2 linked regions of the Rhinolophus ferrumequinum genome follow. The protein of the gene in region 1 purifies or fractionates together with the protein of each later gene. This does not show direct contact. Links are inferred from orthologs where the notes say so. Each region holds a gene or a part of one and is shown on either strand. Other genes may lie near its edges.

Region 1 (10,373 bases):
CCTGGCCCTCCCTCCACTCACTCACTGCTCGGTGTGCAAGTTACTCGGTGATACAAAAATAACCACTACAAATTCTCTGTATCTGGCATATAAAAACTGAGCAAAAGGATCTCAGTGGTCGTTACCTTAAAAGAAAACATCTCAAAAAAATACAACACAGGTTTTTCACTTCTGCAGTATGTTTTTCATATAAAACACTAGTAAAATAGGCTTCTTAAAAATTAAATAGTGAAATAGCAACCAAATTATATACATCATTACAGTACAAGTGAATGAGCCAACACATCCAGTCCCCAGTTTCTCTGGCGGTGACGGAGAGGCCGCCGTGTGTGGCTCGATGGCCTGACTTTCTCCTGAGGTCGCAGTCAGTTGAGCAAGAGCGGCGCACAGACGGAGAGACGGACCCTGGGAAGACTCGCAGCCCTGGGAGGTGGGGTTTTATTGCTTGCTGTTCTAGGCCTTCTCTGCTGCCCACACCCTGGACCCTCAGCCCGTGTGTGGCCTCTGGGACGTGCAGACGAGCTACGCAGATGAGCCTGGGTCACAAAGCTCTTGAGGCCTGGGCGGGGAGGTCCTGGTCTTTGGGGTCCACCTGAGCCCCAGATGGTGAGTGGAGCCCCCGGGCCCCAGGGCAGGCAGCAGAGGCCAGAGCATTGGCCCCCAGGGGGGTGACCACGGCTGTGACCGCCCGCCTGCACCCGTGCAAGTGTCTACGTTCGGCGCCGCTTAGCGGCACTGGGGCTGGAGGGGTTGCTGTTGGCGGTCAGGACCTTGTCGGTGACCCGGCTGCGCTTGCGCTTGTCCGCCCCTTCCTTGGCCCCCAAGTCGGAGGCGTTCTTCTCTTTGTCTTTGCCAGACCTTTCGGTTGCTTTCCCCAAGCTTCCTGAAGATGAGAAAACTGGGAGACAAAATCATTTAGCTGAAAACAGAATATCCAGAATTTTATTTCATCTTCCTGTTCAGTTAAAACATTCTATATCCACAAACTCAACACTCTGAACCCACAAGCCTCTCCTGAGCTGCGGGCGGTCCTGACAAGGGCCCGGTCCTCCTGAGGACGTGCCTTGGGCAGCACTGGCTCAGGCTGTAGGACCCTGTCCCGCCCGGGGGAACCGGCTGACACTCGGTCTGCCCTGTACTGAGACGACCCACACACTTTCACGTGGACCGCCTGCCCTGCATACTGGGTCTGCCTGACTGGGCCTCAGTGCCCGAGGCCGCCGCGGTGCATTCATGGTGTCGGCCACACACGTGCTGTCCACAGGGCCAGGCTCCTGCCTGAGTACATGGAAAGTACTTCTCAACTGTGGGACCAGGCAGAGCAGCTCTGGCTGCCAGGGACCAGAAATCCAGGCCAGGATCTGTGGCTACATTCTGTGGGGAGGCCCGGCCAGGGGTGGGGTGCCATGTCCCTCGGGGACCCCAGGGAAGGGACGGGGTGTGTTCCGTACTTACCATCGTCGGCCCCGTTGTGGGGGTCCACATCTTCCTTCATTTCCTCCTTCATTTCCTCTTCAATGATCACCTTTCCTGTGAGGGAGATGGCTGCCATTTCCCAAAGGCCCACACTGGTGGGGGGCTCAGGCTGCCCGGCCCCTTCTAGAGAAGCCGACGGCTCTTGAAGAAATCCTCCTCCACCGTGGCGGGCCGAGCCTCAATGCCAGTCACCCTAACTCCTCCCCAAGGCTCGTGACCTTCACCCTGATACCACAGCCTGCCTTTCGAGCTCCCAAAGCTGACCTCGCCTGAGTCTCACCTTCCCGGACTTCCTGGATGATTTCTTCTGGGAGGACGAAGTTCCTCTCTGGGTTCGGGAATGGAAGAATCTCAGACTCATGCTGGTGGCAAATAAGGCATTTTATTTTTAGAAACAAAAAAGAAAAGATGATTTTGGCAAGTGAGTAAAACTGCGTATGAGCCAATTCAGGAGCACCCCGGGGACGCACAGAGCCATCTTGGGGGGCTGCTGAGGTACGCATGAAGGGGTGAAGACCGCTCGTTCTTCTGCTGGCACAATCGATGGGCCCAGAGAAGACGCAAGTACATTGCCAACACTGGCAGGAGTCAGGAGGGGGACGAAAGACGGTTTAGTGTCACCTGAGACGACACTCAGGCCCTCAGGGACACAGGCCCTCAGGAGCAGAAGCGGGCAGCAGCTGTCGCCTTCAGAAGGCAGGGACAGCCCTGAGGTTGTCTATGTGGGAGCAGTCTGAAGACACTGAGGGTGTCGGCCGGGAAAGCCACCTGCAGACAGCAGGTAAGGAGAGCAGAGGGCGCCGGGCACCACAGCCAGCCTGTCAGGTTCCACCTGTCCTGCAGGGCACGCATGCCAGAAGGCGGAGCGCCTCGGACACAGGGAGCGCCCGAGGAAGGCAGGTGAGCTGGTGGGAGGCGATGCCACCCTGCCACTCTCAGCGGCCGTGTTAAACCAGGCAGCCAGCTCTGGGAGCTGCGAAACCCCACAGGATGCTGGGTGCCCCGCTGGTCGCCCTGCGGGTGGGGTCCAGGGCACAGCATCACCTTTATCCCATCTGCCTACGGCAAGGAGACCCAAATGACTCAAACGACTTGTCCAAGGCCAACAGGAAGCGAGGGGCGCACGGGATCCGGACGCTCTCCATCTGTGATGCGCACGCACGTCTAGGATGGACGGCTGGCGTGGCCCAGAGCCCAGCAGGGAGGCAGAGCCGTCCCTAACCCAGCCCAGGCCCGCTCCTCGGCCCCCAAGTGCTGCCGCCCGGCCTGACACCTGCTGTTTCTCTGCCAGGAACACCCACCTGTCCCTGCTGACCGTCCTGGTCACTAGGTAACCGGGCGAGCTGGGAATTCCATGGGGCCTGGGACCCTGCCTGCCTGGTGCTCATCTGAGCCTGGCTGGAATCCGGTCACCTTCCGGCCCAGAGCACTCGGGGGCCGCCCGTAAGAGCCACGGTGGCCGGGGCTCCCGGCTCTCTTCCTGAAGAGCCCTCCACTGACCCCCCACCTAAAAGGGGCTGTGTCCGGGGGCCCAGCTTCCATCACTGGGGTCTGTGCTGCTTGTAGGACCCTTGGAACCACCTCGTTTAATGACACGTCCCCAGCGGCATGGCAGGTTCTCTGAGGACAGGGCCTGGGGGGGACCCCGCCGCCGCTGCGTCTGAGGGAAGGCGGGTCTCTGGCCTCGGGAACTGGGGGGGCGGGGGCCAGCTCACCAGCGCCTGCATGTCGTACATGGTGCTCAGGTGGTCCCAGATGACCTTGGACGGCACCTGCCGGCCGATGTTCTGGCTGAACTTGTCCCTGATACAGATCATGTGGAAGTGGCGGTTCACACCTACGGGAGAGGAGGCAGGGGTCAGCGTGGGGGAGGCGACGGGGTGGGAGTGAGGAGAGAGGGGGGGGCAGGGGGCGGGGGGTGGAGCAGGGGGTGCTGGGTGGGTGCAGAAGGGGAGAGGCGTCACGGGGGTGTGGGAGGGGCCTGGGCCCACGGGTGCACAGTGGGAGGTGCAGGAAGGCGCAGGGTCAGCGGGGGGAGGGGGCGAGGGGGTGGGAGGGCCCCGCCCTGCGCGCGCCCCCGGCCGTTGCCCTGCCCGCCCCGCCCCCACGCAGGTCCGCGGCGCTCCGCTCACCGACGGGCTTGTGGCCCAGCATGGCGTGGAAGAGGCACACCTCCACCTCGGGGCTCCACACCACCGTCTCCTCGGCTGGGCTGGTGGCCGCCTCCCCCGGACCCTTGTCGCCCGCCGCGCCGCCGCCGCCCACCTCAGCCTCCCCCATAGCCCGGCAGCCCAGCGACGAGCCCCGGGTGGGAGCGGGCGCGGCCACGGGCTCCGCGCAGGCGCACTCGCGGGGGGAGCGCGCTCGGCGGGCTCGCGCTCGGGCTCGCCCGCGGCGCCGGCGCCGGCGCAGGCGCAGCGGAGGCTCGGTCCCGGCGGGCGCCCGCCGTGTCCCCTTGCGGCGCGGCGCCCCCTGGCGGCCCGACCCTGAAGCGCAGTACCGTCCGACCCCGCGGACCTCCGGAAATGGAGTGGATTTGAGGTGAGGGATGGAAACGCTCTATCTTAGGCTGTGGCGCTCGGGCTGCACAAGTCTGGGTAAAGCCCACTGACTGTAAATGGCGGAATTGCAAATTATACCCCATAAAGCGGGAAAGAAAAAAAAGAACAGGCAACTGTCAGTTCTGCGAGTTAAAAGGGCTTCGACTGCGTCTGTCTGGCCTCTGGCCTGAGCGCTGCACGGACGGGCTCCTGCGCACCGGGGCAGGGGCCGAAAGGGCCCCGCCGCTGTGACCGCCGGCCTCCGGGCTGAATGACTGGGGTTACCCCGGGCGGCGGAGCGGTTTGGGCGGGGGCAGGGGTGGGGCCCGAGTGCGTGTTAATGGCTGGTCGGCACCGGGGGCGGGGCCGGGACCGTGCCGCTAACTTGGGGCAGCCCAGTGACGAATTCAAGGCAGCACCCAATCAAGGCCCGCCGGGGCCCCCGGCTCCGCCCCCAGCCCTCCTGTCCCAGCCCCGGGCCCGCAAAGCCACGCCCCCGCCGTGCCCCGGCGGAGAACGCTGCTGCGCAGGGCGCTCTTCGCCTGCCAGTGGTGTAGACTCTCGCTGGGGCTTCCGGGTCCCTTCCTCTGGGGCCTGCCAGCTTGCGAGTCGAGCAGCGCGCTGGGCTTCTTTAGGTCTCAGCTTCCTCCTGCGTGCGATGGGACCCACAAGGGCGCAGTTCCCAGGTGTATTATTGATGAGGGTGGGCCACCCTGCCAGCCGTCTGCTGTGTGGCCCGACACAGCTCAGGCTTCGTCGTAAAGAGCTGGAGGCACGCTGCTGGGCGCTGTCCCTTGGCGGTGCAGCCTCATCGCCCGGGACAGCCTGGTGGACTCAAAGCTGGGTCAACTGGTCGGGGCCTGAATCTCGGCTTTCCATCTGTGCAGGAGGCTGCTGGCAACGCTAGTCTCCACAGTGCCAGGTGGGAGACGTGGCCCAGGGAGGATTCTGCAATGGCCCAGGGCCACTAGCTGTCATGTGAGCCGCGAGGTGGCGGGGAGGAAGCTCGGCCCACAGCCACTTGACACAGGCTGCTCCCGCAGTAAAAGCTCAAGGGGAGGGCCTCCTCATTATTAATCTCCTTACTGTGCCCTGGACACCTCGGGGGCCCAGTTCGTCTGCCAGGCTCACTCTCTGCTCTCCCCCACCCCATCCCTGCCTTCTCCCAGTGGAGAGCCTCTTCCCCCCAGGTTCCTGGGGACCCACCAAGCACTGCCAGCTTGGGTGGTGAGATTTGTGCTCCAGCACTAGCCAGGGCTTGTAGCCCACACATCTCACCTCTAGGGGGCGCCTCCCACCCACTGTTGGGACCCAAACCAGAGCTTCTGAGTCAAACATGTGCAGGCAGGAACCAAGTGAAGGCTTGTTCTCCTGGCACCTGGCCCACCCAGAGGTCGCCAGTCACAGCATGTTGAAAAGGAAGTCCAATTCTTCCGGAGGGGCATATGAGGAATCCCTGTGATGACCCCCAGGATGTGTGTCCCGCCCTGGGGGTGGGGGTGGGGATGGGGCATCAGATCTGTGGTCAGCTCCCTTTATCCTCACAGCACTCTGTCCTGGTACTAGGTATTACTGTCCCCACCACGTCACCTGTAGAGCTAAGCTGGGCCCAGGGGCTGTGGGGAGCCCTGGGATGCCAGGCTCAGTTGCTGGTCATTCCTGACTGGTGTTTTTTTTGGGGGGTGGCTTATTTTGGGGGGTTGCCAGAGTTAACATATAAAAATAGAGGATGGTCAGTTAAATTTGAATTTCAGATAAACAGTGAATAATTTTGCAATATAAGTATGTCCCCCAAATTACATGGGATACACTTATATAAAAAAAGTATTCATTATGTAAAGTTAGGATTGAACCGGGCATCTTGTATTTTATCTGATAGTCGTACTCCTGAATTTGCCTGAAGTGCCTTCTGGTCGGCAGCTGGATTTGTCCCAAAGCGTGGGGGCCACCAGGTCCATAGTACCCCACTTACCTCAGTGGGGTGAGCTGTGTGAGTGAGGGACAGGGTGGCCCTGTCACTGCTTGGCACTATCGGGATTTGTAGAGGGAGTGAGCAGCTCGGCTGTGATGGCCGAGGGGAGACCCCAGGCCCTGGCTCCCCAGGGCTGGTTTTGTGGGTGTCAAGGACCCCAGGTCAGGGTGCCTTGACTTCACCACCCCCTGCCTTGATGGACAGTGTTTGTGCATTTGTGCTGGAAGCCTGTCGTCACGTGTGCCTCCGGTGCCGGGGGGTGGGATGGGCCAGGTGGAGGAGAAGGGTGCAAGCTCTGCTAGGCCTGGGCCTCTCCGCCTGAGTGTGGCCAGCTCTCACACACCAGTCGGGCGTGGGTCAGAACTGCACGTTCTCCCAGGCACACATCTGCACGTGTGTGCATGCACATGTCAGCACGCACACACAGCACCGCTCTGCTGAGTCAGTTTGGGGGCGGGCAGCAGTCCTCCAGGGGTCTCGAGGTACAGCCCACGGAGGGAGGGGCCGCCCAACTACCTCCAACGCTTTCCCACGTTGCCTTGCAACGGGCAGGGAGGCCAGGCTGAGCTGCTTTTTATCGTCTTTTCATTTTCCAGTTCCTTGGGGGGATCCCAGCCTGCTGTGGGACGTGTGGTCCTCCAAATCCTTGGTCACAGCCTTTTTGTCATTAGAGCCAGGCCCTGCAGGAAGGACCTTTGTCCAGCTGGCAAATGGTGGCTGTGAAAGCTTATGGCCTCATCTTCACCTGCAGGGACCAAGCTATCAGGAAATAAGAGGGTCTCCTGCTTATTCTGTGCCACTGGCTGTTATTATCCTCTTTGTGTTGGGAAAACTGAGGCACGGGAATGCTGGGTAACAGGTCCACTATGCCAGATAGGGGCCAAGCTTTGCACTCTGCCCGTGTGACCCCAGAGCACCAACCCCCACTCTTTTGCCTTTTCTGAGAATGGGGTCCCGTGGGTCACCACTCGTTTTTCCTTGCTGGGACTGACTGTTCCAGCCCTTCCTCCCTCCCCTCCTGTGGCCCCCAGTTTGCAGGAAGCCCCTTCTTTAGGAGGGGTGTCAATGCTGAGGCCGGTGTAGAGCTGGGTGAAGTGCGGGAACCCACCCAATGAGGGGCCCTGCTGCAGCAAGAGAGAGCACGTGGGCCATGGGGACGATGGGGGCGATGGGGACAATCGGGAGACAATCTCAGCTTCTTGGCTCAATGCAGCCCCGTCCCGCACGGCAAGGAGGGGACCCTTGATCTCCAGAGGCTAGTGTTTTATTGAACTTGGCTTTGAAGACCCCTGTCCCCAAGATGACTCAAAGGCAACTCCAGCAATGCCCCTGCCCCATAGACCCGCTCCCCTCACCCCGTCCCCTGCCCCGTTCTATTTATTTTAAGATGAAGCCTTTTACGCGGTCACATGATGGCGGGTGCCATGCGTCATTTCCCACTGTTATTCTCATCTCCTTGGGTCTCTTAGAAACCTGGGACAATTATGACTTCAAAATGCTGCAGGACGGTGATGTGACAGTTGCCACATGCCACAGCAGTTGTGCCTGGGTTATTCATCCATGTCAGCTCTCAAGTCAGTTTCAAGGGCACCAACAAGGGGCTGAACTTATTTTAAAAAGATGGAATCTTTCCCCATTAATTCAGCTTCCAAAGGCCAGTTCTGCTTTCTTGTGCACATGCAACAAAAGGAAATGGTTCTTTGGGTCAGTGTGGAGAATGGCTAATGCTCTCTTTGTGAAAGGGAGTATTTTTCTTATAGGCAGGAAAAGTCATTCTGAAATAAAATTCCTTTTGCCCTGCACTTCTCCTGAGCCAGGCTCTGTACCATGTGCAGTGTGCTGTACGTCTCCTTCTCCATCCGTCATCCATCCATCTATCCATGCATCCTACAGACGTTTGCCGGGCACCCACTAGCTATGTGCCAGGCACCGACGTGGGAACACAGCACGGCTGCTGTGTTGGAGACAAGGGAGACAGATGAGAAGAGCACAGCTACTGCTCTGATAGTGGAGGAAAGCAGACAGGGCCAAGGCGGGTGGGGTCGGTTGCCTAGAGGCCACAGGTGCTCACCTGCCGTTTTCTTTAGTCTGTTGCCGCACTCGTCTTTCTGCATGAGGGAGAGGGCTGCTTCTCTCCCTTAGAACTGTACCGTCTAGGTCGACCCGGTCTGCCCACCTCACCGCAGTCACACAAATGGTGCTAAGGATCCCCCATCTGTGTGCCGTGGTTTCCTCAACCACCCGACTCTCGGCCATTGAGAACTCTGTTTCCTGTAAAAACCGACGCTTGAGTTTCCCACAGTCCTTTCTTTCCTACTGCCGCTGGCTTGTGGAGTTGGGCCCGTGCGCCTCTGTGGGGTCTGGGGCTCCACCAACAGCCAAATTGGGCAGGTCTCTGTGCAGCAAGCCCAGGAAACCTTGACTGAGGAGGGAGGACTCTGACCTCATGTTGTAGTGGACCCCCGGGCTACTTCGTTTGCCCTTTGACACCAGCTGCTCCATTTCAGAACTTGGGGTCCCCGCGTATCCGCCAGAGGAGGCTCTGTGTATTGAGAAAGTGCCTGGAACGTCTTCCTGCAAAGCAAATGCTTTCTCTCGAGCTTGAGTAAGACATGGACCCAGAACATTTCAGCCCATCTGAGCACAAACCTGGGCCTGTGTCCCAGCCGGGCCCTGGGGCTTATAAGGTCCTTCCTGGGAAAGCCAAATGCTTGGCAGGGCTGGTCACCAGAGGAGGTGAGCACTAGTGGGCAGCACTCACAGCTCACAGCAGCAGAAGGAAGGGGCTGGCAAGGCACGGGTCCCGGCTGGGGGCCACACTGCACTGGAGTGTGTGTCCCTGTGTCCTGCCTCTTGTGTCCCCTCACTGCTGGCCACGCTGGCCCAGGCCAGTCCTGCCCACGGCATCTTTTTCCTCGTGAGCAGCGCTTGGAACACCATGAGGAGTGGGGACAGCTGATGCAGGCGCTCGGAGCTGTCCACTCCTTGCAGAGAGGTGACCAGTGGCCCCACCCTGCCTCACCCGTGGCCCCCAACTCAGATCCAGGACGCAGGCTTCTCAGGACGACACAGGGGACAGCCACAGAACTCCCAGCATCCGATGGCATCTGCAGAATGGGTCCTGCGTGTTCCTAGCGCTGGATGAGCCAGCTCCCCTGTCCTGTGGGTGGTGACCGTGTGTCACTCACTGGGCCACAGGAGAGGCCGAGCTCAGGGCTCACGTGTGGATTGTCCTCTGCACACAGAAAAATGTGCAGGGATAGTAGCACAAAGCTATCAAAAGACTGAAAAGCCCACGGGTACCAAGCTGTGGCGAAGTCGTCAGTCCAGCAGACACTGGATCGATTTCCTATAGCCGCTGCAACAAATGACCACAAATGTAGCAGTGCCGAAGCGCACCGGCTCACTGTCTCATGCTGGTGTGGTTGGGTCTCCGCTCAGAGTCTCACACGCTGAAATCGAGGTGTCACAGGTGAGTGCCTATTGGGCATTTCTGGAAGAAGCCGCTGCCCGCTCACCCCAGCTATGCGCAGGATCCAGTTCCTTGCAGCTATAGGACTGAGGGTCTGTCCTGGCTGGCTGTGGCCCCCAGCTGTCCCCTTCTTCTCCGGCCCAGGGAAGCCAGTGAAGGCAGGTGGGGTCCTTCTTACACTCTGAGTCTCCCTGACTTTACCTCCTGCTCCAGAGATGCCTGGGAAATGGTTCATGTGACTCCGTGGGGCCACCTGGTAACCCAGGACACTCTGCCCCACAGTGTTTGTGGCCTTAATCACATCTGCAAAGTCCCTTTGCCCTGTCACATAACACGACACATATTCCAGGCCCTGGGAGTTGGGGTGTGGACGTCTGCCACCTTCCTGAGAACGGGGCGGTGGCCCTGTGAACCTGCCTGGAAGGACCCAGAGCTGCCCTTGGAGGCGGAGGGCTCGGTGCTACTCACCCATGTCCCTGCCCAGGACAAGAGATGGCCTCCTGGGGCTGCCTGTGGGAGGACCTGAGGGGTAGAGCAGGGACGGTGACATTTCTCCGCATCAGCTTTGTACCTCTTTTGTGTTGTGCCATGTGCATACATTATCCATTTGGAAATTATGGGTACATATATTTGAAAATGATATGTTTTCAAAGCACAGAAAATGAAAAGACAAGATTTAGAATCAAGTCTGGGCTCACACACAGCTGTGGACTGGGCAGCTGTTTTGGGCTCCTTGGCAAGTAATTAATAGAGAGTTGTTTACAGTCACTCACGGGCACTTGACTTTGAAGAACCTCGAGCTCAGCCTGGTGTTTGCAGGACGCCGGCAGTGAGGCTGTCGGAGCTGTTCCCTGAGTGTGTGGGGCTGGCTTTCTGGGCGGATGGGGGCGGGGGTGCTGAACTGAGGCCGCCA
Region 2 (10,256 bases), on another chromosome or scaffold:
CTTGCATTTTCATATACAGTGGTCAGCACATCTGATTGGAGGTTTCCAGAAACCTAGGGAGGAAGGGAGGCAGGGCTGATGCTCAGTCCATATTTTAGATGAGGAAAATGAAGTTCAAAGAGATTAGGCAACTGCCGAAGATCACAGGTCAGGAGGTGGCAGAGTTAGAGCCCAGGCAGTTTGCCAACTATGTCCAAAGCTCATTTCTACTACGCTAGGTTATCAATTCTAAAGTGAGAACTAGAAGGGAGCTCACAAATCTTCTAATGCAGTGTTTCCCTAACCAATGTAATAAAAATCTTTTTGGGACATGCATTAAAAATAGATTTCCAGGCTCCACTACAGACCTCCTGAACAACAGCTTACAGGAGAGAGGTTTTATATTTTCACAAGAACCCTAAAAGGTGATTCTAGTTATTAGCTAAGCTTGGAAAATACAGTTATATATCTGTATGTTCAATATGATAGACATGTGGCAACTTACATTAAAAAATTGGGTTCCTCAGTCACATTAGCTACTGCCTTTTAAGTGCTCAGCAGCCACACGTGGCCAGTGACTACCACATTGGACAGCACAGATATAGGGCATTTCCATCACTGTAGCAAGTTTTATTGGATAACACTGATTCTAAACCAACTCTTCAACTGTGAGGATAACACAACTGAGGCACAGGATCTTGTTCATCAAGTGCCACGAAGCTGGTTAGTGGCAAAACTGAAACTCCAAACCTAGTCTGCCAGTGCCCCTCTTACTAAATCACTTTATCCCACCTAAACTCAGGGTTTATTCAGATAGAATTATTTTCTTTCCACCCTTGCTTGTGGGTTCCAGAAAAGCAACAAGAGCAATTCTGAATTTCTGGGGGAAAAAATCCTAATAAAAAAAGGTTTATGAAAATAATTACGATTAAATCTAAATCAATTTACATAAAAGTAAAACTAGTCTTTGACACTTAGGAATACCCTGGTATTAGAGGAGATATATCTTAGCTTGTTTTAACCATTTTAAGTCCTTCCTCTTCTACTGTCCTGATGTTTTTAATCTTTCTCTAGGATTTGAAATCCTGAAACTAATGAGATACTTCAACTGGCTCACCTTTAAATTACAATGTGAAAAGGCTAAATCTTATTTAGTAAACATTTTAAAAATGAAAAGCTGAGAACAAGGAGCAACCAAAAGAATAGCAACTTTTCTAATTTTAGAATGTGGTCACTCAAACCACTGTACTCTGGGCTTATAGTAATTTAGTGGTTCAGTATTTATGATATTAATATGTTGTTTTCACTTCTAAGCTATAGTTTTACCTTCTTTTGACTACTATGTTATGTTTTAAAACCATTTAAATTGCTAACTTCCAATGTAATTGAAGGACTAGAAGCATCTAGGAAGGTTTAGACACTAATTAGGTCAACATATAGCCAGCCATAAAAAATACAGCACCGTGTTCTTTAAAAATAAAACCAGTTGTTCCTGTCTAGTATGTTTAGAATGCAAACGACTCCAAAGTCAGTCAACTTAAGTCATGACAGTTCATGTTTAAAGCAAGCAGGAAGTAACTTGGAGCTCCATATTAAAACTTTACTTACAACTTTAAAGACAGACTTTTACATCTATATTATTTCTTTTCAGTATCTAGAATCCATTGCCATGTTAAATTCTAGTGACTAGATTTATAGGAAATACTGTATGTCAAAGTTTGTATAAAATTATAAATTAAATGGTTAAAAAACATGGCCCAAATAAGATACTTATGAACAGATACTTATTCAAGACAGTTTTTGCCATAATTTGCAAGGCATCCAGAAGCCTTGAGTATGGGTTCTATATAAATAGAAACTATTTGTTATTCAGAGGAGGCAGTGCAAAAAAAGCTGTTTTCTTTCTAAACACTCTCTAGTGTTGAGGTAAACAAATGAAAAAAAATATAGTTTAAGCACACTGGAGCAGAACAACAGTCTCTAAGTCATAAAAGGGGGAGAGAGAAAAAATGTCTGTGCTCTAACATTTTAAACGGGACTGGGAGTTTAAAGTGAAATTTATTCCCTGGCTTTTAGATCGGATTCATTACTTCTACATTTTCCCTGTTATGTCTGGACTCCCACTTCACCATAGTAGGAAGAGGAAAACATGTGCCCCCAAGATTCTCATGCCAACAAAACTATCATACTTTTGGAGGCAGTAAAGCTCACCAAATGAAGGAGAACAATAGAAAAACACTAAGTGACAGACAATAGTAGAAACTGAACTCTCTCAACTACCAACCGATAAATACTGGCACATATTAATGTAAAAAGCACAAAAAATATCGCAAACTAAGCAAATATTAAAGTGTTGCAAAAGTTTCAAAGCTCATAAAAGACTTGGAAAAAACTAGAAAGAAATGAAAGCACTGTGAAAGAGAGGCCCTGAAAAGGAAGACCAGCTTTGAAGGAAAACGCAGGTCAAAAGGAGGAAGGGGGGTTTCTTCCGATCATCCCTCTAATAGCGTCAGTACTACCCCCAAGAAGCAGTTTTAGGCGCATCCTTAGGGAAAGCGCTTTAGGCAACGAGCAAAGGTGCTCTGAGACAGAACTACAGAGATGCTGCTGAAATTTCAAAGAGATGCACTAGCGAGAGAGCACAGGCACGAAATCCCCAAACCATACTTTCCAAGCTTTCAGTAGTAAAATATCAATCCTTCTTAGACACATAAGCCACCACTTTTGAAACTTGACCCCGCAAAGTCTTCAGCAAGGACCTCACTAGCTCGCAAACCCTCCTCCCTCCACTTCCCTGACGTTCTTTCCTGGCACACAAAATATAGGCCAGTGAGCGGTGGGTGGGTGAGTGAGGAGGATGTGAGAGAAAATTTGAGAAGTAAAAAAGGGAGCAGCGTAACCAGGACATGAAGAGACTGCAGGGTCTGTTAAGGGGAGGCAAACAATCAGGACAACTGAAAAACAGAGCAGGCTTTCCTGGCTAGCAGCGATCGCTCGTGTTTGCAGGAGTTTAAGCAAAGGCCAGGCTACCTACCAGTTGTCAGAGAAGCTGCAGAGGGGACGGCTGCTGTGATGACCTCTAATGTCTCTTCCGACTCTGAAATGTTAGGATTCTTATTTCACAAAAGAGAACACACTCGTCATAGAAGCCCACGGACCTAGAACCCTTGTAAACTACAGCGGCCCAGGCGGCTGCTTCGCAAACACCACTCCCACCTCTCCCTCCCACATGTGCCCACCCCGCCCCCTTTCAATATTTCCACCTCCACGTGCGAAAGGCCTCGCGGCACTCGCCCTAAAGCGGCCCGGCGCCTTCCTCCACAAAGTACTACAACTAGGCCTCCCTGGGGGAAGTGAGGACTCCACTCTCCCACCCTGGGCGGCTGAAAAAGGGAAAGTCTCAAACCCAGACTTCTTCTACAGCCAGAGCTGAAGGGGGAGGGGGCGGGACGCAGAGGAAAACTTTCTTTTAAAATTTTTGTTCCAGATAGAGAAAAGTGTAGAGAGAACCCCGAGGAGAGCGGGGCTGAGGGGGTGGGGGGAGGGGAACCCCCTGGATCGTTTAACGGCCGGTAGGGGGAGGGGAGCTCCGGAGGTTGAGGGGGCGTGGGATGGAGAAACAGGCCTGGGAGCCGGGTCAAGGAGCTGCAGGACTTCCTAGGGTCGGGGAGCTGCAAGCGTCCCCCCCACCTGGTACACAAAGCGGCTGCCGCGCTAGGCTCTCACCAGATCCTTTGTGTTTTCCATCAGGGCCTCATGGGTAGGGGTTGTCCGTGCTCCCCGGGCCGGCGGCGCCCTCTCCCCGGGCTGGGGTCAGGCGCCTCTCCCCGGGACTACGGCGACTACAGGGGTGCCCTGGCTGGGCCCAGACCGGTGGCGGCTGCGGCAGCCCCCGGATTTCCCCCCTTTAACTCGGGTGGCCCCAGGATATCAACAACATTAGCATAGCCCTCCCTCCCCAGCGCGCCTGCGCCGTGACCCGCGCCCCGATTGGCCCACTTCCCTACATACCCTCCTCTCTCTCTTCCAGCGTGGGACCCTCTGCAGGCTCCGTACTCCAAGGGCCGTACCAAGACGGAGGGGTGGAAAAGGCAATTGAGGCTCGTGTTAAGTCGAGTGGTCAAAAAGTCAGGAGAAAGAGAAGTTTCATTCAGTCATCTTAGTTTATACTCTGGCTTTCTTGTGCTCCTTTCAATCAGTTGAAGCTGCTAAGTTGTGTTGGAAAAAATTTTCCACTCCAGTCACGCCGCCTCCCCTTCCACCCGGAAGATTGGTCCTCCCGGAGGAACTCCCATACGGGGAGGGGCTCGTGAGGGGAGTGGGCGTTACGTAGGGAAAAAGAGTGTTGGTCACGTGCTAGCAGGCTGCGCAGGCTCCTTCCCTCCCGCCGGGGCCTCAGCTACAGTGGCTAGACAGGCGCTTCGGCGCACGCGCAGTGAGGCTCCACGTGAGTACCTGCGTTTCTTCTCAAAGCTAACGATGCCGCCTGAACGGGGCACCCGAACGAGACCGGACCGGAGAACCGGAACGAGGTTGAACCAGAAGACTCGAATGAAGCGGGATCGGAGAGCCGGAGCGGGGCCGGACGGGCCGCCCCGAAAGGCTGCTCCTTCATCCCAGCGGAAACCGCTGACTCGGCCGAGAGCAGCGGCCGCTGCGATCGCAATCGCCGTGGAGGAGGAGAAACGGCTCCGGCAGCGGAACCGCCTGACGCTGGAGGAGGACAAGCCAGTAGTGGAGCGGTGCCTGGAGGAGCTGGTCTTCGGCGACGTCGAGGACAATGAGGACGCGCTGCTGCAGCGTTTGCGAGGCCCACGGGTGAGGGAGTCCGCGGCGAGCGGGCTGGGCGCGCTCGGGTGGGGCGCGCGCTGGGCGGCAAGCCTCCGGGGACGGAGTCTAGGCGACCTGCGACGCCGGGGAGCTCTCAGGTGGGAGGGAGCCCGAGAACGCGGGCGCCGACGGGGCTCAAACGGAAAGTCTCGGGAGGGCGGAGACCGCGCCTTTCTCCGCCCCCGTGGGAGCCTCTGCGCCTAGTATCCAGCAGGCGCTCAACACGTATTTGTTTAGCGAACTGGGTCATGCGCATCTTTGGTGATTCAGCCCCACTATCCTCAAACTCAGTGTTTTTTTCCTTGTGTTCGGACGATCGCCTGCCTCGGTACCTTGCGGTGATTCAGGAGTTCCACTTCGTTTGTGGAATCTGAATTCGTGGGCACGGGCCTGGGAATCTGCCTTTTAACATCTCCCCAAGTGATTGACTCGCCAATCTTTGAGAATGACCACGTATTCGTTTTTTCAAGTATTTGTGAGCCTATCGGGTACTAGATACTTTTCCTGGTTGTAAAAACCCTGAGTTGTTATAATTTTTGCACTTTCTCTCATCCTTTTTATTATATATCTGGAATTTTTCCGAAGATAGTCCCAGGCATTGTTCTAGGCATTGGAGGAGAAACAGCAGTGGATAAAAATTGACAAAAATCCCTGCCTCCTGGAGTACTAGTGGCAGAGGCAGAAAATAAAGGAGATAAGTACTTCTGTAAAACTCAAGTATGTCAATGACTAGTCCTGAAAAGAAAAACATTAAAGCACTTGAGAAAAAGGAGATAAGTGTGTGTAGAGAGAAGGTCTGTGACATTTTACTTAGGATGGTCAAATAAAGCCTCACTGAGAATTATGCAGTCTGGCAAATGAACGTGGACCTAGCAAGTATCAACTGATTGATTGCCAGAACCTCCTTTGGGTGCTTACGGATGAAGCTGCAGAAACTTAGTAGGGAATCAGAGAACTACTACTGGAAAAGTGCTGAACTGTGTGACAGTTTCCTAGTCAGGAAAAGAAACAGTCCACATGAAGTGGGATTTGTTGGGTTTTGAAGGATAATAGGCTGGTAACAGCAAGTAGAAATCATTTGGACATTTCTATCGTGGTTTTGGGAAAGCTCAAGCTCACTTTAGGGAGTACTCTGTGGTCTACATTTAGACTTGATAGTACAGTATAAAGTTTGAAAAGGTAGGGGATCAAGAACGATTAAGAAAAATGGAGAAGAGGTATGTCTAAGAATATGAAATATGAGTTAACTATGATATTCAATTATGTTATTTTATTTTTAAAGATTTTGTTGGGGAAGGGGAACAGAAATTTATTGGGGAACAGTGTGTACTTCCAGGACTTTTTTCCCAAGTCAAGTCGTCCTTTCAATCTTAGTTGTGGAGGGTGCTGTTCAGCTTCAAGTTGTCCTTTCAATCTTAGTTGTGGAGGGCGCAGCTCTGCTCCAGGTCCAGTTGCCGTTGTTAGTTGCAGGGGGCGCAGCCCACCATCCCTTGGGGGAATCGAACCGGCAACCTTGTGGTTGAGAGGACGCTTTCCAACCAACTGAGCCATCTGGGAGCTCAGCGGCAGCTCAGCTCAAGGTGCCGTGTTCAATCTTAGTTGCAGGGGGCAGAGCCCACCATCCCTTGCGTGACTCGAGAAATTGAACTGGCAGCTTTGTGGTTGAGAGTCCACTGCCCATGTGGGAATCGAACTGGCAGCCATCGGAGTTAGGAGCATGGAGCTCTAACCGCCTGAGCCACCGGGCTGGCCATGTTATTTTATTTTTGATGCTAGTTTGCCTCTGGTCCCTTAATTTCTGGAGTTCCTGGTCTCCCGCCCCCCCCCCCCCTTTCTTTATCGGTCATCTTCCTTTTGTTGTTCTTGTCTTACTTGGTGTTTTCCTGTGAGCATGTAGACTTTCACTCCTTGACTGTTCCATCTTACCTCACCTGCTCAGCCTGTGGTGCCATTCTCTAATCTTATTTTCTATTCTGTCTTCAGCATTTCCTGTGATAGCATTCTGTCCTATTTCATCAGAGGGTTGTAAAAGCAAACCATTCTACAAGCCATTTGACTTCAAGATGTGTGTGTCTGCCACCATTGGATGTGAAAAATTCAGTGCTTGAGATCGTTTTGTCTTCTCAAGGTTCAAGCACTGGAAGACTCAGGTGACTCTGAAGTGGAGAATGAAGCGAAAGATAATTTCCCACCTCAAAAGAAGCCAGTTTGGGTGGATGAAGAAGATGAAGATGAGGAAATGTAAGTTGCCTAACTTTTCTTCCAGAATCCCTCTGAATACTTTCAAAATTATATTGCACATTTTGTAAAAAGTTCTCTTTATGAATATGTGATTATGTGAAGATTTGAAAAATAATGGGAAAGTATAGGAAAGGTCATTCTTAATCCAGCCACCGAGGTAGAACCACTATCAACATGTTGGCCCTCTCCTCTTCTTCGCAGTCTAGACTTGCGTTTGCCTCCTGATTTGACCAGTTCCTAACTGACCATGGACAAGTTTATAAAATGGGAATGATGATAGTAATTGTGTCAGAAGGCTTTTGAGATTAAACGAAATAGTGTATGTAGAGCTCTTAGCATAGAACCTGAAACCGAGAAAAGGCTAAAAAAAGTTAGCTAATAACACACAATATGTACTTGGATAAGAATGAGTATATCGCACACCTTTCTCCTCACTTTAAAAAAACCTGTATAAACATTTTTAAATGGATGTGTTATAGTTCATGTATGAATTAACTATAATTTCCATAGCTAATTAACATATTTGTCTCCTCATATAGTTACCTTTTTTGTGTTGAGAGCACCTGAAACCTATTCTCTTAGTAAATTTGTAGTATACAATACGGTATTATTAACTGTAGTCAGGCTGTATATTAGCTCTCTAGGCTTATTCATCCTACATAACTGCAACTTTGTAACTTTTGACCAACGTCTCCCCATTTCCCCCACTTCTCCACCAGTGGTAACCACCATTCTACTTTATGCTTCTATGTGTTTTACTTTTTTTAGGTTACACATACAAGTGAGATCATTCAGTATTTTTCCTTTGTACCTGTCATATTTCACCTAGCATTATGTCCTCCAGGTTCATTCATGTCACAAATGGCAGGATGAGACTGTTTCTTAATGATCTTCCTATATCAACTCCTTATATACTGAGAATTTCAGACCTTGATATGTCAAATTTATTGTAGATTTTCTCCCAGCTTTGTTTGCCTTTTAATTTTGTTGTTAATGTTGTCAGAGTAGTTAAATTTTTAGATAGTCAAATCTGTGAATTTTTTCTCCTTTTTTTGTTGTTGTTTTTAACAGTAAAAAGTCCATCAGAGAGAGAGAAATGTTTGCCTATATTCTTCCTTCATAGTATTTTAAGGTTTGGGTTTTTTTTAATATATTTAATTCTTTGTTTTACCTAGAATTTATTTAGGTGAATGGCATAAGCCACGTCTAGATAAGTCATTATGAATTGGAAATATTAGTTCTTCAAAGAGTAAACTGGATGATCTGAAATATTGGAGACTCCTTGCTGTTTTGGGAAAAATGGAGAATGTGTGTCTGAGATGGTTCAGGTCTTATAAATCTTGATATATATATTGTTCAATTAAATATTTTCTCTAACTACTAAAGGCAACAACTATTTATGTTGGTTCTTTAAAAGTCATTTAAAGTACGCTCTTCTGTTTTTTATAGGGTTGACATGATAAGCAATCGTTTTCGGAAAGATATGATGAAAAACACCAGTGAAAATAAACTGTCAAAAGATGAGCTTCAAAAAAGACTTAAAGAAGAGTAAGTATCCTTTTTTATACAGTTTAATCAGGAGGTGTTTATAACCAGTTTATTTTGATTCACTCAGTCTTTGGCTGTAATAGCATTGCTATTGGGACAAATGATTAAATTTTAGTATTTTGGGGGAAGAGGAAATACAAGTCCAAAAATATCTGGAAAAAATTTGTAATCCCACCACCCAAATATAATCAGTGATGATATTGCTTACTTGTTTCATTTGTATATGGTAAACCATCTCTTTTTCACAATTTCTATGTTCTTTTAGTTGAACAGAGCCAGGAAATAAATGTATATTTTAAAATAATGGTTTCATATTGATTCTTCCAGTTTAAACTTACAGAGCTCTAAAAATCTTTAAAAATATTTTATTTTTGCTTATAGTGACTTTTTTTTTTTTTTTTTTTTTAAGGAGGGCACAGCTCACAGTGGCCCATGTGGGGATGGAACTGGCAACCTTGGTGTTATTAGCACCATGATGTAACCAAATGAGCTAACCGGCCACCCCTATAAGTGACACTTTTTAATATCCTAGAGGTTTATCATATTATCACTTAAAAAAAAAAGGTTTATTGAAGTATAATGTACACACAGTAAAATTCACTCTTAAAGTATCTTCATGAGTTTTGTTAAACACATATAGTCATATAAGCACCACAACAATTAAGATAAGAAATCAAAATATGGACCGTTGCCATCACCCTCCCCTGAAATCCTCTTATACCCCTTTGTAGTCTATCCTCTTTCCTCAGCTTTTAACCTATCTAACCCCTGACCACCACTGATGTGTTTTCTATCCTTACAGATTTGCCTTTTCCAGAGTGTTATCTAAATGAAACCATGTAGTATGTAGTCTTACACCTGTTAAGCACATTGAGTGAGTCTGTTATTTCAGGCATTACATTTTTCAGCTTTAGAAGATCTTTTCCGCTTGAGACCTTGTTGAGTTTTGTTTAGTTCCTATTTTTCCCTTTTGTTATGTTAACGCTTCCTGTAAAGACTTGAATCTATTTGTATTAGATACTTCAAAGTTCTTGTGTGCTACTTTTCTTATGTTTGTCATTCTGTGTTTCTGTTGACTGATTTTTCTACTTATTATGGGCCATGGTTTTCTGCTTCTCTGCATCTCTGGTAATTTTGATTGGATTCGGAGGAGTGTGAATGTTAAGTTGTCAGTATCTGGATTTTGTATTTTGCTTTTAATGAGTGTTGAACTTTGTGTTGGCAGGAAGTTAATTGGCTTGGAGATCAGTTTGATCCTTTCAAGATTTGTTTTCAGCTTTGTTCTAGAGTAGCATATTATACTCTGGGCTGGTTTAGCTCCATTACTAAGGCATGCCCTTTCTGGGATCTCTACTGAATGCCCCAAGTGTTCAGTGAGGACCTTCCCTCTAACTGGTTGGAAACCAAAGTGTCTGAGCTTTGGTATTGTGCAACTTCCAGCTCCCTAGTAGCTTTCTTTGCACGACCTCATGGAGTTTTCATCCTGTGAGTGTGCAGCTTAGTATTCAGCAAAAGTATCTGCAGACTCCTATGCAGATTTCTGGAACTCTTTCTCTTCTACAGTCCACTGCCCTTTAATTTCCAGTTGTTCTCATTCTCTTTCAAGTCTGATCTTTTTTCTTTTTGGCTCTGTGCCAGGGTTTTTTTTAAAAAAAATG

What was found.
Region 2: the proteins of MRGBP (region 1) and MBTD1 purify together in Homo sapiens (affinity purification with mass spectrometry; 4 studies listed by BioGRID and IntAct, counting the BioPlex papers as one, with this or other methods). This does not show direct contact. The link is inferred for Rhinolophus ferrumequinum from reciprocal best matches to the Homo sapiens genes MRGBP and MBTD1.

The regions. Positions count from the first base shown.
Region 1 is NC_046306.1:928,376-938,748, forward strand, and holds the start of MRGBP (MRG/MORF4L-binding protein), read right to left. Parts: upstream 3,825-10,373; 5' UTR 3,757-3,824; coding exon 3,609-3,756; intron 3,314-3,608; coding exon 3,192-3,313; intron 1,839-3,191; coding exon 1,757-1,838; intron 1,531-1,756; coding exon 1,456-1,530; intron 899-1,455; coding exon 711-898; 3' UTR 1-710.
Region 2 is NC_046304.1:32,512,894-32,523,149, reverse strand, and holds the start of MBTD1 (MBT domain-containing protein 1), read right to left. Parts: upstream 4,255-10,256; 5' UTR 3,991-4,254; intron 3,940-3,990; exon of another isoform or gene 3,706-3,939; intron 3,077-3,705; 5' UTR 3,014-3,076; intron 1-3,013. UniProt on the Homo sapiens protein: Chromatin reader component of the NuA4 histone acetyltransferase complex, a multiprotein complex involved in transcriptional activation of select genes principally by acetylation of nucleosomal histones H4 and H2A.